Linked DNA regions of Schizosaccharomyces pombe. The gene in region 1 interacts genetically with each later gene. Each region holds a gene or a part of one and is shown in the gene's direction. Other genes may lie near its edges.

Region 1 (4,358 bases):
CTGTATCAATCGCAAGAACGAAAATGACCGCCAAATGCAAATTATTCGAGTTTAACGTTACATAAACGCGCAAATCCACGAACAGTATGATCTTTTCAATACAAAGAATGCAGAGATTTAAGGTCCTGTTGGGTTAATAGAAAACTGTTAGCAAAGTATGTATTTAGGCCAGTAAACTGCGATATTTTTTTTACTGAAATACGTTAGCATTCACAACTGGGCTTACAGTTTCTCCCCTAATATATCAACGATTGAAATCTTTTTAAGATAATCTAACCTTTTATTTAGTCGAATAAAAATTTCAATTTTCTCTTTAAGCTAAATTTGGTTGAAACTGCTTTTTTAGGTCGCTTGGATAATTGCTTCCTTTTCTCTTTCGCTTTAAACGACTTTGAATCTAGATGAAAAATGGTTTACAACTTTACATTTGTGATGATTACATCGTAAATATTTACATTGTGCCTATACCCAATTTTTTTTCTTCGTTTCTTTAGCCACAAGCGTTAGTTGAAAGTATTGTTTACACAGGAAGGGTTGAATCAGAAACATTGTATGTATGATAGCGTTATATTAGTAGACAACACTTGTAGGCAAACCTATCCCGAAAAATTTTATTTTTAAATATATACATATGCTAATTTCCAACAATAAGCAGTCTACTTTCTTTTCCGACGATGTTTTTTTCTTTCACCAACATCACCTATTATGTTTACAGGTAAAGTAGGTTCATCCGTTGTATGGTTTTTTGATGATCTCTTTTTGATGCTTAAAGGGTTAGGCCCTTTAGGACCCTTGCGTTTTTTATTGGCTTTTGGAGCAGAATCCTCTGTTCCCGCTAAATCCGTACTTTCCTTGGTATCTTGATCATCGATAGCCAGTTCATTCGCTGAACGCTTTTTTCCGGATAATAACAACTTTTCCTCTTTTGACATGCCCATCTGAACGGATTCTTTGTTGTGCTTTTCTAATAACGTAGCTCGTGAAGCTGGTTCTAGTATCACAACTGACCTTTTCATATATATAAGTGGAACACCTGGGACCGAACGAAGAGCTTGCCTAAGCTCGGGGTCTTGGGTAGCAACAACATAGCGGTGCTTGTTCCGACCATTAATGTTGACTACACTCTGAATACATTCTGAAGGAGAGAGTGCTTCATCAATATGACCACACCTCCTTCGCTCAAAAGACTTTGCGATACGAATTTCTTGCTTCAATTCATCGGATTTACTGTACAATTGCCGAATACAACATTGAGTAATCACTATAGTCAGTTAGTAAATCCGTTAGTTATAATAATTTACAAGGAGAACATAAGGAAAGAAAATAATAAACCAGACCCGGATGAAAAGATACTATGTTGAATAATTAAACTTTCCGTTCTGTTTCATATTCCGGGGGTTCGCCCTTTTTTCCAGTAAAAGAAAACACTTATAAACAAAACTTACTAGGTTTTATAGCTCCTTGAACAGTCCTAGCTAATGCAGCTTGTATATCAATCTTTTGTTGAGATAAATCTTTTAGGAAATCTGCATCCACTAAAAATCATGTTAGTTTAATAACATCACCAAAAAGAAAATGCTTATTGTTTGCAAATTAGAACTTGGGTAAGGATGCATCTTTACAAGCATCATTTTCTGTACCACATACCGAGTACTTGATATGGTTCACGAAATCCAAATAAAAGCTGATACGTATGCATCAGCTTTCTGTAATTCTTTGCCCTTTTTTGCCTCATATTTACGCCCTTTTCTGTGCGTCACACAGCCTAAGACTTAATATGCTTTAGATCACTTGTTTTTTTAAGAATTTTTTTTTTCGCTCAAAAACGAAAAGTCTTTTGTTACTATTAGAAATATTAAAAAAATAAATTCAATCGTATTAAAAGAAGTATCCAGGAACCCTAATATTGCTGAAATCCTCTTATTAGGAAATTTCCAACTAGTTTGTACTTTCCAAGTTCACCCACGTACTAAAATTTTGGGCGCTTTAACTATTTAACTTAAGTGAGATACTTGGCTTCGAACTGAGTGTATACTTCTTTTATTTCTCTATTTAGATAAATTTGTAAGGAAACGGTATTAAGCAGAAAGAGGATTCAGTCTATTATTTACCCTTATCATACTTTTTCTTCATTTCTACTGCGTAAATAATTTTAAAGCTTTGCTTTTTATTATTTGAAAGATTTGTCATTATTACTTTCTTTCTTCTAAAGCTTCTTTTTCTTCTTTTTATAAAATTGTAAATATATTCGGATCCAAAAATTAGAGGTTTATTTCTGAAGTGTTTGTTTTGTTGCTTCTATTTTCTTAAGAATCAATCAATAAAAACATGAGTGAACAGCGAGTTTTTAAGCACCCTTGTCAATTTTTAACATGGAATTCTAAACACAATTACATCGTGTGCTGTTCAGGTCCATATCTATTGGGGTTCTCATGCTCTACAGGGGAAAAAATTTTTGAACATTGTTATAGAGACAATATAAATGAAAAACATAGAGAGGCAGCTGCCTATGGAGAAGCGATTCGTCAAGTCGCATTTTCTAAAGACTATTCTCGTATGGCAACAGTTAGTGAAGACAAATGTTTGCGCCTTTGGGATAGCACTCAGCCTGATAAAATTGAACTTCTTTATCAAAAAAACATACCAAAGCGATGTGCTGACTTGTGCTTTGCGGGCTCAAACGAAATTGTTTTTGGTGATAAGTTTGGTGATGTCTATTGTGTAGACGAAAATTGGTTTACTACTTCTGAAGTTACCGAAGAAAAAAAGTCAAATGTGGTTGAAGGAAAACAAGAACCTGTTAATAATGACACTTTAAAGGATTCGAAATTGCAAAAACTCGAACCCATTATGGGGCATGTTTCGATCTTAACTCAATTAATAGTTGCTCAAAATCCACAAAATTCTAAAGAAGAAATAATCATTACTTCAGATAAAGACGAGCATATTCGTATTTCCCGATTTCCCAATGCATTTGTCATTGAAGGGTTTTGCTTAGGTCATGAAGAGTAAGTTTTCATTTGGTTTTAGTTGATCAATTTTTTTTTTTTTTTTTTAAATAACACTAACGCCTTTTCCTAGTTTTGTATCTAGGATGTCCTTATATGACAATCGTACTCTAATATCTGGCGGTGGAGATAATCACGTTTTCGTATGGGATTTAGAGAATTTCAAATGTTTGGATGCATTCGATCTACGATCTGCCTTTTCCACTTATCTCTCATTAAATCAACCAATGGTGGTTTCAGTTATTCTTCCTATTTTTAAGCGCCAGCTTGTTGCTTTTGCGTGTGAAGGAATGGCGGGTCTTATCTTCGCGAAGGTGACACCTGAAAAGAGACTGTTGTTTCATTCTGCTTTGAAGCTGTCAGGGCCTGTTCTTGACGCTGTTTTGCTTGACACGGATACTGATCAAATTCTCATTTCTTTGGACTCTAGTTTTACATTTGGTGCATGTTTTGAATGCGTGAAATTTGATGAAGGGAATGCGGCTGTTCTTACGAAACCCGATGTAATAAAGCGTATAGAATCTGATGGTTTAATATCAACCGAAAAGCCGTTCTGCCCGCTCGCTCAAATTCACACATTACGCAAGAACCACTCTAAATTCATTCGCAGTGTTGAAACCGGTACATCTTCGCCATCCGTTGAATCTAAAGATAATTAAAGCTCATTTTAGGGAGACCGGCTCAAAAAAAATAATTGGGAAAAGTGGGAGCATCAGTAAATATGGAAAATAGATATGAATAAAAATGATTGTGACATTAAAGTATAATAGGGAGAGCATTTAATTTCTTTGGAGAAACCCAGAATTTTGAAGTATAAATACAGTCAGCGATTAATAATTATGCGAATAAACGCAACTTGTATCTACTGCATAAGTGCAACTGCTATTCAGTTGTGCAACGTCAGCAATTTGAAGAAGTAAAATTAATCGTTTATTCAATTCCTTCCATTTACATGCTACGACAATACTTTACATAATACTTGCAACGGCAAATTGTTTTTAGAAGGCCTAAAGAACACGAGATACATCCATTAGTGCTATCTAACAAAAAAAGCTTAGTCGAAGAGACCGAAACCCATGTCCTCATCGGATTCCTCTTCCTCTTCAGCAGCAGCCTCGGCAGCGGGTGCCTCAGCTTCACCACCAGCAGCAGCAGCAGGAGCAGCGGCGACTACGAAAGCAGAGGGATCAGCAAGGAAAGCCTTAGTCTAAAATAAAGTTAGTGAACTGAGTACAAAAATAATTTAATGATTCAAAGAGTTTAATTGTATACAAGCGTTCAGCAAAAAATTAGAGTGTTTAAACTTTGCGCTCATGAAAATTTAGCGAGTTAAAATAATCCTCATCAAAA
Region 2 (4,452 bases), on another chromosome or scaffold:
ACTCAAAAGGATATTAAGCACTGGCCCTTTAAGGTTATTGACAACAATGGTATCCCTACCATTGAGGTTAACTATTTGGGCGAGAAAAAGCAATTTACTGCTCAAGAAATTTCCGCTATGGTTTTGACTAAGATGAAGGAGATTTCCGAAGCTAAGTTGAACAAGCGTGTCGAGAAGGCTGTCATTACCGTCCCCGCCTACTTCTCTGACTCTCAACGTGCTGCTACTAAGGATGCTGGTGCCATCGCTGGCCTTAACGTTCTTCGTATCATCAACGAGCCCACCGCTGCTGCTATTGCTTACGGTCTTGATGCCAAGTCCGACAAGCCCAAAAACGTCTTGATTTTCGATCTTGGTGGTGGTACTTTTGATGTTTCTCTTTTGAAGATTCAAGGTGGTGTCTTTGAAGTTTTGGCTACCGCTGGTGACACTCACTTGGGTGGTGAAGATTTTGATAACGCTTTGGTCGAGCACTTTATTCAAGAATTCAAGCGCAAGCAAAAGATTGACATCTCTGACGATCCTCGTGCTCTTCGTCGTCTTCGCTCTGCTTGTGAGCGTGCTAAGCGTGCCTTGTCTTCTGTTACTCAAACCACCGTTGAGGTCGACTCTCTTTCCAACGGTATCGACTTCTCTTCTAGCATTACCCGTGCTCGTTTCGAGGACATCAACGCTACCACATTCAAGGCTACCATTGATCCAGTCGCTAAGGTCTTGAAGGACTCCAAGGTCCCTAAGGCTGATGTTCACGACATTGTCCTTGTCGGTGGTTCCACCCGTATTCCCAAGGTTCAAAGACTCGTTTCTGATTTCTTTGATGGCCGTGCTTTGAACAAGTCTATCAACCCCGATGAGGCTGTCGCCTACGGTGCTGCTGTTCAAGCCGCTGTCCTCACCAACAAGGCTGACTCTGACAAAACTCAAGATTTGCTTTTGTTGGATGTTGTCCCCCTTTCCTTGGGTGTTGCCATGGAAGGTAATGTTTTCGGTGTTGTTTGCCCTCGCAATACTCCCATTCCTACCATCAAGAAGCGTACTTTCACCACTGTTGCTGACAACCAAACCACCGTTACTTTCCCTGTTTACCAAGGTGAACGTGTCAACTGTGCTGAAAACGAACCTCTTGGTGAGTTCCAACTTACTGGTATCCCTCCTATGCCCCGTGGTCAAGCTGAGTTGGAAGCTACTTTCGAGTTGGATGCCAATGGTATCTTGAAGGTTACCGCTGTTGAAAAGACCACTGGTCGCTCTGCTCACATTGAAATCACCAACTCTGTTGGTCATCTTTCTTCCACTAAGATTCAAGAGATGATTGAAAACGCTGACAAGTTCAAGCAACAAGACAAGGATTTCGCCAAGAAATTAGAGGCTAAGAGCCAACTCGAATCTTACATTTCTAACATTGAGACTACCATCTCTGAGCCCAATGTCATGATGAAATTGAAGCGTGGTGACAAGTCTAAGATTGAAGCCCAATTGGCTGAGTGCATGTCTCAATTAGAACTTGAGGACACTAACACTGATGCTCTCCGTAAGGCTGAGCTTCGTCTTAAGCGTACCGTTCAAAAGGCCTTTGCATCCCTTCGTTAGATAAGCTAAACAACATGAATTAAGCTTTCGAAGGATTTGTTCATATGCAATTATTGATATCATATAGATACATTATCTAGGACTACCAAAATGTAATTATTACTCGGATATGTACGTTTATTTGTAATTTGAAAGGCAGCATAATTTGAGTGCCTCAAGGCTGGGATAGGTTTGATACTTAAATAAGAGAATCGTTAATTGTGTCCGAATAACACGCTGTAGAAGTAAGTAGAATTTGATTGAGAATCGCTTTTAAAATAGTAGCCCTTAGCTTCGCAAAGATGACTTTTGAGTGTTTTCTATATGTACGGAAGGTTTTCTGTTTGAGCAGAAAATTTGGTGGTGACAATTACCCTGTTGGCCACGCTTAAGTTGCTTGCAATTTTCTAAGCTCACAGAGTTTTCCTTTCGATTAACCTCCCTTCTTGTCATGGGTCTGCTAAATTATAGCAATAAAGTATGTCTAGCTCCCATGGTTAGGATTGGGGAACTTCCCATGAGGTTATTAGCACTTCGATATGGCGCTAATCTAGTATGGGGGCCAGAAATTGTGGATAAAGCTCTTCTGAGTGGAACACCTGTAGAAAGAGTCGTAAATGGTATGTGTTAGTATGAATTACAATTTTAGAAGAAAGATGAGGATTAAATCGATATTGGTTGCTCGTGTAATTACATTGTTCACCCATGCACTTTCGTTTTTCAATACTATATTTGATGAATTATTTTTTTTATTAACTCGTGTAATTACATTTTTTGACATTTATTTAATTGAAAAACAAATTTCTTCTTCCTAATTGTGTTATTTTATTCAGTTATTATTGACTCAATTTAAAATAGATAGGATCAATTGCATCGATTTTGTTAAACCACCTAGCAATAAGGTGTTGTTTCGTGTGCATCCGCTTGAAGCTAATCGATTGATTTTTCAACTCGGAAGTGCATCCCCAGAACTTGCAGTGGAAGCAGCAAAACTTGTAGCTAATGATGTTGCAGGCATTGACTTAAACTGTGGTTGCCCCAAACATTTTTCTGTACATGCTGGAATGGGAGCTGGCCTTTTGAAAAATCAAGATCGTCTAGTCAGTATTCTCGATGCTCTAGTGAATGAGATCGGGAAGCCTTACAAAATTTCCATAAGTTGTAAAATTCGTTTATTAGAGACAAAAGAAGATACCCTAAAATTGGTAGAGCGCATATGCGATACAGGAGTTCGAGCAATCACTGTTCATTGCCGTACAACTCCAATGCGAAATACTGAGCCTGCAGATCGTAGTTATTTATCGGAAATTGTAGGCGTCTGTCGAAATAAAGATGTTTCGATCTTAGTAAATGGGGATGTCTTAAGCTATAATGATGGATTGGATGTTATTGAGAAATATGGAGTCGACGGTGTGCTTATCGCCAGAGCTGCTGAAAGGAACGTATCCTGTTTTCGAATAGAGGGCCCACTTTCTAGTTTTAAGGTTGCCGAGGAGTTTTTGAAAATGGTTTGTACTTTGCTTGTTTATTCATTACTAATTGTTGATAGGCTCTTGAGGTTGATAATAATTTTGGGAATACTAAATATTGTTTAAATCAAATCATGCAGGGTTCATTTCGGAAAAATGTTCGACAACTCGCTCAGACTGCTAAAACTTATGAAGACTTGAAGAAGGCATTTGAGATCGAATACAAGCATTCGGATGCTTCATCGGTCTGCCCTACTTTAGAAAAAGAAAAATCATTGGTTATATCTTTTGTAGATTTGCCCAGTTTTTTGGAGTCTTTATTAGCGTCCAATATTTTAAAGCAACTAAGTAGGCTTCATTTCACAAAAATCTTTGCAGTAAGTGAAGAGGAAGATATTTGCAAGCAGCTAGACGATATTCATGAGAAGTTTTTGTGCCACGGAATTGCACTTTCTTTAATTTCAGCTGATAACCTAGCTTCTGCAATCGCTAGTGCTCATCTGGTCATATGCATGGAAAAAGACGAATCTATTATGAATGAGGCTGTATGCGATCAAAAAATAACTATTCGTTTGCCGATCAATTCCAATACGAATGAAGCTGTAGTGGAATGTGAAAATAAGTCAATGCAAAGCAAACATGCATTGGATATAATTCAAGAAAGGATAAAGGATTTAGAAGAGAAAGCTCAAGTCGTTTAGTTTTTCGTGTAGTTAAAAAGTTTTTGTATAGTTTTGAAGTACTTACTGAGCATGTTTGGTTAATGAAAATTATTCTTATATCTTTTCGCTGCTTTGGTAAAGTTGAAGCATGGATTCTATCGTCTCCCATAAATGAAAAAAGCATTTTTTATTAGAATTATTATTGAGTTGAATCCAAAAATTTAATTGCTATTATTTAGGAAACAGAGTGTTTTGAGAGCTTTGTTATATTAAATTGAATGACGATCAAATACAAGCTAGTACAGAAATACTTATGGTTAATTGAATTTTGAATGATATTTTTTCTACCAATTTATTAATAAATTTTTTGAAAGAAGATAAAGTAGCTAAATACTTCGACGTGTAATTTCGAACGTATACTACATAGCTGACCAGGGTAGATATCAAACGATTTTTACTACTACCATTGTAAAGCCCTAACAATGAGTTTTCGTAAATATGCCTTAATTACCGGCTCCAACAGGTAAAATATTATTAAGATATCTAGAGCAACACAGTTAATGATTACAGTGGTCTTGGTTTTGGAATAGCTACGCGTCTTTTGCAGTTCTACCAACCGCGTTTGCAAGATGAACCCGAAGTATTCACGGTAATTCTTACATGCAGGAGTCGTGAAAAGGCAGAAGATGCCTGTAGAAGATTGAAAGAATTCTTTCCCGATAGGAAAATACGGTTGGAATACGTTTTGTTAG
Region 3 (3,710 bases), on another chromosome or scaffold:
TGACTTTCAATATAAAGGTAAGGACAGTGATAAAGCAAGCCCCCTTTATGGAGTCTATTACTGAATTTGATTTATGAATGAGTTCTAAGGATTATTGTATAAAATAGGAATTTTAGTTTCAAAGAAAGAAAAAGATAAGAAAACGTAAAACATCAGATGCAAGAAAGAAACAGGAAAAAAAGAATAAAGGCACATACGAACATCTTTTTTTAAAACAATTTATAGCACTCCAAGTTCTTTTTGGGCTTGAATACGCAATTCCTCATCAGCGGCTTCATACAGAATTTTTTCGGTTTGCCAACGTTGCGAAATAGAATCAATGTCCTTGGGAATATTATCAATTATGCTGTGAATTTTTTCGTTTTCAATTATTTCATTGCAAGTTTGGAATATAAACTGATTCCATCCAGGCTGCAATGAATTGGCAGTTTTGGCAATATCCATCAACTCCAATTCAGTTTCCTTTTCCAAACGACCAAACTTACGAATTAGCTCGTCACCAACGCCGCCGCGGTTGAGCAAATTATTCAATGCCATTCTCGATACTTTAAGCTTCATCAATCGACGAAGACCTTCTGTAGCCCGTAAAACGAGAGCAGCTTTCAAAAGTGTATCCTCGGCAGGTGGATTCTGCTGCAAAAGACTGAAAAATATATTTCTAGAATAATTTTCTCCAAACCATTCTTCTGATACTGGTTTTGATTCCTGATTTTTGGATTTTCGCACAAAACGAGAAACTCCATACATAGAGCCCATTAAAATGGTAATATATATCAAGGGAACGTAAATCGACACCATATTGAATTAATTAACACGGCCAAGTATGTAAAGCAAGCAGGGACCTTTTTCTTTAACAACTCGTATACCCTTTTTGTATTATTTGTTTTTTGCAGAGTGGACTGCAAATATGTATATGAGATATAACTTCGAGACCAAATGAATGCAAGACCAGTTTAGGTGTGAAAGGAGAATAGTGTGTTTTCTGGAATGCTTTATATTTTATAAGGTTGATGTAATTTTCTGTTATTTGTAGATAAGAGATATTTATGTTTTCTTAAAGACGCTAAAATATTTTACGCGATGCGCTATTAGATAAACAAATCGATCGGATATTGTTCAATTGTTTGTTTAAACTCAGGTAAAAGTTTTTAGAATTAGAAATGAAAAAAATTTACTAATAGGGAACTAGGATAATAAACAATTGAGCATTTTAGAAACAGATTTTGCGACCATTGTGAAAACTGACGAAACATATAGTTAGGAAGACAAAAACACCTCATTTATGAAATTATTTCTTTTTTTCAAGTATACAAAGGATCTTTGTATGTTCTTCTATATTGTTTCTGTAGTTTTATTAGTATTTTTACATATCGAGGCATTGGCATTCATTTGTTTTATTTACAGCCAATTAATAAATTCCCTTATTTTGATATAAGCTTTACAGTCTCGCTTAACTTGAAAACGCTATGATGTTGTGTATTCAGTTACAATAAATAGTGACATACAATAGTCGCTCAAATATATCTGGTTATATTTTATATTAAATAATTTTGCCAACTGATTTATCTTGGGTTGATTTTTCTTATTCGTGAGATTTAGATAGCCGTTCATGATGTTTTTCTGCATACAATGCATATTAGTGGAAAATGCGTTCGATTTCCTTATACTCATACAATCCTTTAGACCGTCGAAAGCGGAGTGGTATCACTTTGGTATAAAAAGGTAGTCTTAATTAACCTACCACTAACGTATATTTTCATTAACAAAAAAAAAGTTTATTATCATTATTCAAGATGGCTAAAAGATCCATATTTCGTTTTGCTGATGAAAAGGGCTTGAAGGTCGCTGCCCGTTATGGAGTCCTTATGTCAACTAGTTTTATTTTTGCTTTACTTTTCCACAGCGTATGTTCCAATCAAATTTCTATTTTATTCTAAGATTATTCATTTGAAAATCAACTTTCATTTGATATCAATTTCGTTTAGCTTTTGGAGACAAAGGGAGCAGAATATGAGAAATTATAAGTCGGTACTTTGAGTGAATTCTGAATTTGTTTTACAAAACATGCATTGTTAAAATAAATCTGGAAAATTATTTTATCAGGAACGTTTCTAAAAAGGAGCTTTTTGTCTGTTTAAGTTTTCATAATCGGATACGAGCATTCATCTTACCGCTCAATGTTTGCCGCGCTGCTCATTTTTCTGTTGTTCTTATGTTTTTGGAGCTTCACTTCGAATTGATTACTTTGTTCATAGTCTTTATTTTCTTAGCATAAATTACTAATGTCATTTAGAGCGTTGCCGATGTGAATACCTTATGGAGTCCTGGCCCTGAGTCTGCTTTCGATGCTGCTGAAACTTACTATACTTTGGTGGCTGGATCCCATTTCATTGTAAAATATACTGTATATACCATCATGGGACTTAATATGATTTTCCATCTTATTCAAGCCACTGGCGCTAAAGGTGATGACAAATTGTTCTTTTACTCTAGCACGCTTCTTTATCTTACTGCACTAATTTTGTTTATTGTTAATGTTGCTCCTTCTATGTTGGTTGTTAAGCTACAGAATTATGTTCAATTCCCACGAAATATGCACTTGTCCGTTCTTGCTGCTTCTCATGTTCTTGTTGAATTTCTTCTTGCTGGTGTCATTCTTATTCAACTTGGATACGTTTTCGGATATCATGTTCAAAGTATCCAGCAGCGCGAATACGCTGAAGATATGAGGGAGCAAGAATTAGCTGAAAAGGCTAAATTGGAATCCGAGTCTGCTACTACTCAGAGTGTAGAAACTGTTTCCACCGAATCTGTTTCAAAGCGCAAGTAAACAAACCACTTGGGTCTAATTTTACAACTTTTGGAATAGAGTGAACTATTTTATATCTTGCTAATTATTGTTGCTAGTCCGTCATCAACTCTTTGACGCAAAGTTTATGTCTAACTAGAAAGCAAAGAGTGACTTGCATTGACGGTAACTGGGAAAGCTTACATGTGTATTCATACGTACAATTATATATATACAAGATTTATACTGTCTTATATAAGAAATAAATTGACTTGAATTTTCGATAGAGGAATAGTTCGTTATGTTTGGATTTAGAATAGTCTTTAGCACACTTATACTTCTTAATAATTAAATATGTACTCATTGTGCAAAAAGGATTATCACAAGTGAAGCTTTTGTGAGATTGTATATTCTTCTATACTATGGATGCATAAACAAAGTCTCATTTTAGATGGGTTTTACGCTGCAGATACAGCAGAAGCGCCATACAAATATACTAAGTAAAATCTCAAAGTTCAAATGCTCAATCGATTTATTGTGCTAATTATCGATGTTTAATTCACTTTTTAACAACTAATAAATAGGTAACAATGTTACTTGTTCGTATAGCTTACTTGACTGCATAGCATCAGAATGATAATTGTAACTAGCTTCAGCGAATTTGGTAAGTTGGACTAGTTGGTTAGTTATTACCTTTTTTTTCTTTCTTCTGTGTTTCTCTAATCTCAACCCTACTGTAGACGGTAACTTTTTCAATTCATTCGTTCGGGTCATTTTTTGATCAAAATGTTGCAACTTTTCATTTATAGCCCAGGACTTGGGCAACCAACGATGGATCCTGGATGCTTAGCGGCATTAATTTATTGCGCACTTGCCGTCCCAAAGGACGAAATTGAAATTCTTCGCACTGCAAATTCAGGTA
Region 4 (4,997 bases), on another chromosome or scaffold:
AAAGACATGAGCACATTGGTGAGTAACAAGAGTCATAAGCGTTCAATCTGTTTTATTACAAATGCGCGTTCATCATTAAACTGCTCATCATTTTTCCGGTCAGTATGAAAAGCTGACAAGTAAGAAATCAACTTTGATTTGTTCCTCCTTAATATTTCGATTACTTCTTCCGACTTTTCAGGATTAGCAACAAACAATTTAAAAACATGAAAAGCTTCAAATTGAATGTTTTTACTCTTATCTCTCAGCAGAATCATCATTAGTTTCAGATTCTCAGCAGAACTAATATAGCGTGTCATGACTGAACGGTTAGCACGATTAAGAAGAATTTCCCCTAAAAGCTTTAAAGATTGACGTTTGGTAACATAATTTTCAGATTTCAAAAGGACAGTGTATTGCTTAAAAAACTCGTCAAAATGGTATGAAATAAACTCAGCAACTTGGGATTTATGATTAAGAAGAATAGACTGATTAAAGTTAGTAAATGCAAAACTAGCGGGAGTATATAAAAACATTGCAACGACAGAAGTTTTATTTGGGGATAATACGTACCTTAAAAGTCGAAAACGCATCACTCGCCATATCAAAACTAGAGGCTTGTATCAAACTAAAAAATGTCCAAAAATCTCGTGAGTTTAAAAGTACCTCATTAAGGGCTTCATGACGGGAACACTCACGAAGGATAGAACCAGCAGTAAAAGCTACTTCCTGGTATCGATAGTATGAGACCAATACTGGAAAGATTTGCGGGTGCGCAAGCATGTAGTCAACAGTGGGATATCTCGATGCTACATGCCTCCTAAGTAAAGCGCTAAATATTAGTCCTGTATCCTTTTTAGACTCAAACTCCAATTTCGGTAAATATCGAACGAGTAAAAAAGGTAAATTCGACTGGTAAATTTGAAAAGATAAGTCTGATACGAGATCAGCATCAGGCTCTACTTCAGCTGTCCCACACAATGAAACCCGTAAATTCTGTAAACATTTGGAAACTTCCTCAAAGGACTGTTTACGTTAGTCATCTAAACGAACAAAAACAACAATTACTAATAATTAATACCTTCTTTTTATCATTGTTTATTTCCAACTTTGGGAGATTATCACATAAGCAGCGAACAACATCTTGGGTTGATTTTGGTCGTTTATTGAACAGAAACGACATGCGGAATTATGGAATTCGGTTTCTCTAAAAACTTATGGCATATGACAGGGTAAGTAAAGTGGGTGCCAGGCGATGGTCCACAGTGGGGGTCTATTTTCATATTCAGTTGAATACTATTAAGGTACACTTCTTGAGTATTCAAATTACCTTTACTTATACCTGAAGTGATACCAATGTGGGGGTTGTTACATCTCGATTATACATAAGTAATCAAGTATTGAAACGCAGGTGCATTTAGATGATAGCAAGTGTACTAAGTAGATCTATTTATGAATTATGCATTTTCCATACCTTTTTCTCTTCGGTAAATGAATTGGTAGGTTGGTATAGCTAGTAGAAATACAAAGTAGTAAAACAAACGTTTTTTAATGCTAATGTTTGAAATAGTATCTGGGATAAACTTGTAAATTGCAAATACATCCAAATCTCCATATAAACTTCACAATTTAAAAAAATTATTTAATTTAAAAAAAAAAATAAATAAATACCTGCGAGGTTTCTCGTTCTTACCATTTAATCAAATTTTCATAAATAAATATGTGAGAAATTGCAATCCAATTTTCGTCACAGATATTAATCAGACGAAGGGTAAAATACTCTGCTTAAAATATGAATCAAGATTGAACAATCTTAAGAATTTTATACATGTGTAAATCTTCAAATAATATCAGGAAAAAAAGAATATGTAGAAGGAAGTAAACAATTTTAGCCTGTTGATTTGTAAATTTATTTTTTTTAATTCACACTTCGAGCTTTAACATTAAACAATTATGTAGTTAATTACATGATATTATTCTGTTTTTGATACGTTGCCTTAAACAACAATTATTGTAGAGGCACCATGTTAGGTTAACCTCGTCTTTCCCTGTATATGAAATTAGCCCGCTCACATATTGTCTTTAATGATTTTTTTGGATGTATGGATCTAATTTATATACTGCGTTTTAATCATACATTATTTGATTTTTTATCTTTTTATAAAGCAGTTTTACTCAATGACTTCAATTAAAGTAGTGTGCCGAATTCGGCCCACGAACCAGTTGGAACAAGACCTTGGAGGAAATAATGTGATATACCCATTAAACGATTCTACTGTTCATATCGAGGTAGGTTTCAACAATTGATCTTTACTTTAGAATTCGGCTGACATGATTAAAAGACTAGTGATTACTCAGGAAACTTTGTATTCGATCGTGTTTTTCATCCTTCTAGCACTCAGAATGATATATTTTCGTATTCAATTGAATCGACAGTCGATGGTATGTGAATGATAGTAAAACTTTACACGGCGTTGAACGGATTAATTTCATCGTTGTCAGCAACAGCTTGTATGAAATTATAGCATAGCCTTTTTTTATATGCGCTCGTTTTGACGCTTCATTTGAAACGAATTGCCATTTTAATACATTGTTCGAATCACATTCAAGTTGTTCTGAATTTCATTAAATATGTACTAATATATTATAGACTTATTCTTGGGTTATAACGGAACAGTACTAGCCTATGGACAGACAGGATCCGGCAAAACATACACCATGATGGTATATTCACAATTTCACCTGGCACACTTTTCTAACAATCTTTAGGGTATTGAAAATAATTTCGAAAAAGAAGGAATGACTCCAAGAATGCTCAGGCGTATTTTTGACAAAATCCGCGATTCACCATCTACTACTGAATACGAAGTGAAGGTATCATACATGGAAATCTACATGGAAAAAATTCATGATCTACTTTCCGGTAAGCCTTCAAATGCCGTAGAAATTTTGCGACGTTCGTATTTAATTTCAGCAAAATTAACCATGATTTACAGAAAAAAATGACAGACTGACGGTTCATGAAGATAAACTTCAGGGAGTTTATGTTCAAGGTTTAAAAACGATTTACGTATCAAGTGAAACGGAGGCATTGGATATTTTAAATAAAGGTATGGGGTCACGTGCCGTTGCAAGTACGTCGATGAATGCGCAAAGTTCACGGTCTCATTCTATTTTTGTACTCGAAGTTGTCCAAACGGACACTGAGTCCGGCGAAACTCGACGAGGCCGGTTGTTTTTAGTTGACTTGGCAGGTTCCGAAAGCGTAGGAAAAAGTGGAGCAGTCGGGCAAACCTTAGAAGAAGCAAAGAAAATAAACCGTTCTCTTTCAACTCTTGGAATGGTTATTAATTCTCTCACAGACAGCAAATTATCACATGTTCCTTATAGAGATTCCAAGTTAACGCGTATTTTAAAAGAGTCTCTTGGTGGAAATTCTCGGACCACTCTAATTATTAACTGTTCACCAGATTCATACAATGCAACAGAGACCTTATCTACTCTTAGGTTTGGACATCGTGCAAAGAGCATCAAAAACAAAGCGGTAGTAAACTCAGAACTTTCTGTTGATGAAATGAAAAGACAGCTGTATATTTATAAAGATGCTTTGTCTCGTTGCGTTTGTGGAGCCAGAATTAACAATAACTTAGACTATAATAATTGTCATTCTAACGTATGGTCAGGCGAGCATTCCCTCACACTGTCAAATCTCGCCGAAAAATCCAACTTAAAGGAAGCAGAAATCATTCAAGGAAATAGAACAATTCAGGAAAGTAATAATGACAGAGACGAAAGCACAGTTGCTTCGATACACAGACATAACTTTGATTCTGATTCTATCAATCGTTTGTATGCTGAAGCACAACTTGAACTTAAACAACGAGATGGTGTTTTATCATCCACTAAACAGCAATTGTCAGACCTTATGACTGCATTGGGCGATGCTCAGGAGCGGTATGTTGAGCTTGTTAAAAACCACAGAGTAAATTCAAATCTTACTGCAAACAACTCATTAAATGACAAACCGGGTTTTACAATAGAACAGAAAGATAAAAATTTTTCGATAAATAACGAGAGAAACAATTTTTTACAAAAACTGAGTACTTTGGATTCCTCACTGGCTGCTCTAGTAAATGTTCAACGAAAATTGATTAAAGCTTTAATTTCCAAAGAGCGACCTCAAAATGGAACAGTAATTAAGAAAATTCAAGGGGGCACTTAAAAGCTACACTTTTTTACTCTGCTTTGCGAAGGATTATATATGTTTAATTAATTTCTTTAGAGTTGTTGAGCTCACATTTAATCATGAAATATTGCATCTCGTCTAGCTGCTTTCTGAATAAACTAATTTTCTGACTAATTATTTATGCAGCTTCTTTTATATTGCTGCAGCATTATAATATAAAAGAAAACAGCTACGCAGCAATGCATTGTTTATATGCTTATTCAGCAAATGTGTAACATCTCAAATGATGATGTAATAACAATTCAATAAAAATTTACCGTTATAATATAATCAGCGAATTTAGTAATCTGAGACTACTATTCTTTAGCAAGGATTGACTATTGGCTAAGCAATCATTACCTTTTTTAAGCTACAACGAACTGTAGTTTAAGTGTTACTTGCGATGTATATAATCTTATGTAGGATGTTTATCGTAGATGGTAAAATGTTGTATCAATATAATTATGATATTGAATACACTAACATAACCACACATATATGGCTTATAACTGAAGTCAGGAAAGAAGGTTTGAATGTATCAACATAATGCATTGTTATAAAACTACTAGTATAGAAGATTTACACTAAGGATGGAAATACGGAGAATCATGAATATTATGAAAAGTTGAACTAACGCAGCACAGTATAGTGTAGTGACTTGTTTCTAACAGAACGATCATATTTACTAGCCACCAATCTTCGCTAAACAACATTTACGCGATCTTCAATATCCATTTACATTTTGCTAACACAACTTGTTGAGTTGTTTCATTTCCCTATTTCGAACACTTTT

Evidence for each region.
Region 2: mutations in trm82 (region 1) and dus2 together harm fitness more than expected from each alone (negative genetic interaction), as found in Schizosaccharomyces pombe (one large-scale study listed by BioGRID).
Region 3: mutations in trm82 (region 1) and shr3 together harm fitness less than expected from each alone (positive genetic interaction), as found in Schizosaccharomyces pombe (one large-scale study listed by BioGRID).
Region 4: mutations in trm82 (region 1) and klp3 together harm fitness more than expected from each alone (negative genetic interaction), as found in Schizosaccharomyces pombe (one large-scale study listed by BioGRID).

Annotation. Positions count from the first base shown.
Region 1 is NC_003421.2:1,976,567-1,980,924, forward strand, and holds trm82 (tRNA (guanine-N7-)-methyltransferase subunit Trm82), read left to right. Parts: upstream 1-1,954; 5' UTR 1,955-2,328; coding exon 2,329-3,008; intron 3,009-3,081; coding exon 3,082-3,667; 3' UTR 3,668-3,799; downstream 3,800-4,358. Other genes in the region: rRNA processing protein Utp23, read right to left, coding at 657-1,261, 1,446-1,535, 1,648-1,735; rpp0 (60S ribosomal protein uL10), read right to left, coding at 4,063-4,215.
Region 2 is NC_003423.3:1,106,708-1,111,159, forward strand, and holds dus2 (tRNA dihydrouridine synthase Dus2), read left to right. Parts: upstream 1-2,000; 5' UTR 2,001-2,020; coding exon 2,021-2,189; intron 2,190-2,427; coding exon 2,428-3,077; exon of another isoform or gene 3,078-3,118; coding exon 3,119-3,739; 3' UTR 3,740-3,891; downstream 3,892-4,452. Other genes in the region: ribosome-associated molecular chaperone Sks2, read left to right, coding at 1-1,590; erg27 (3-keto sterol reductase), read left to right, coding at 4,183-4,223, 4,271-4,452. UniProt on the Schizosaccharomyces pombe protein: Catalyzes the NADPH-dependent synthesis of dihydrouridine, a modified base found in the D-loop of most tRNAs. Specifically modifies U20 in cytoplasmic tRNAs. Also able to mediate dihydrouridylation of some mRNAs, thereby affecting their translation.
Region 3 is NC_003423.3:1,173,949-1,177,658, reverse strand, and holds shr3 (chaperone protein Shr3), read left to right. Parts: upstream 1-1,745; 5' UTR 1,746-1,793; coding exon 1,794-1,904; intron 1,905-2,293; coding exon 2,294-2,830; 3' UTR 2,831-3,179; downstream 3,180-3,710. Other genes in the region: translocation subcomplex subunit Sec66, read right to left, coding at 220-798; mtx1 (metaxin 1), read left to right, coding at 3,575-3,710. UniProt on the Schizosaccharomyces pombe protein: Involved in amino acid permease processing and required for the efficient translocation of structurally related amino acid permeases from the endoplasmic reticulum to the plasma membrane.
Region 4 is NC_003424.3:4,704,758-4,709,754, forward strand, and holds klp3 (kinesin-like protein Klp3), read left to right. Parts: upstream 1-2,020; 5' UTR 2,021-2,157; coding exon 2,158-2,268; exon of another isoform or gene 2,269-2,321; coding exon 2,322-2,421; exon of another isoform or gene 2,422-2,629; coding exon 2,630-2,703; exon of another isoform or gene 2,704-2,748; coding exon 2,749-2,902; exon of another isoform or gene 2,903-2,975; coding exon 2,976-4,201; 3' UTR 4,202-4,495; downstream 4,496-4,997. Other genes in the region: mo25 family protein Pmo25, read right to left, coding at 33-467, 553-1,005, 1,061-1,162. UniProt on the Schizosaccharomyces pombe protein: Cytoplasmic motor that could play a role in Golgi membrane recycling.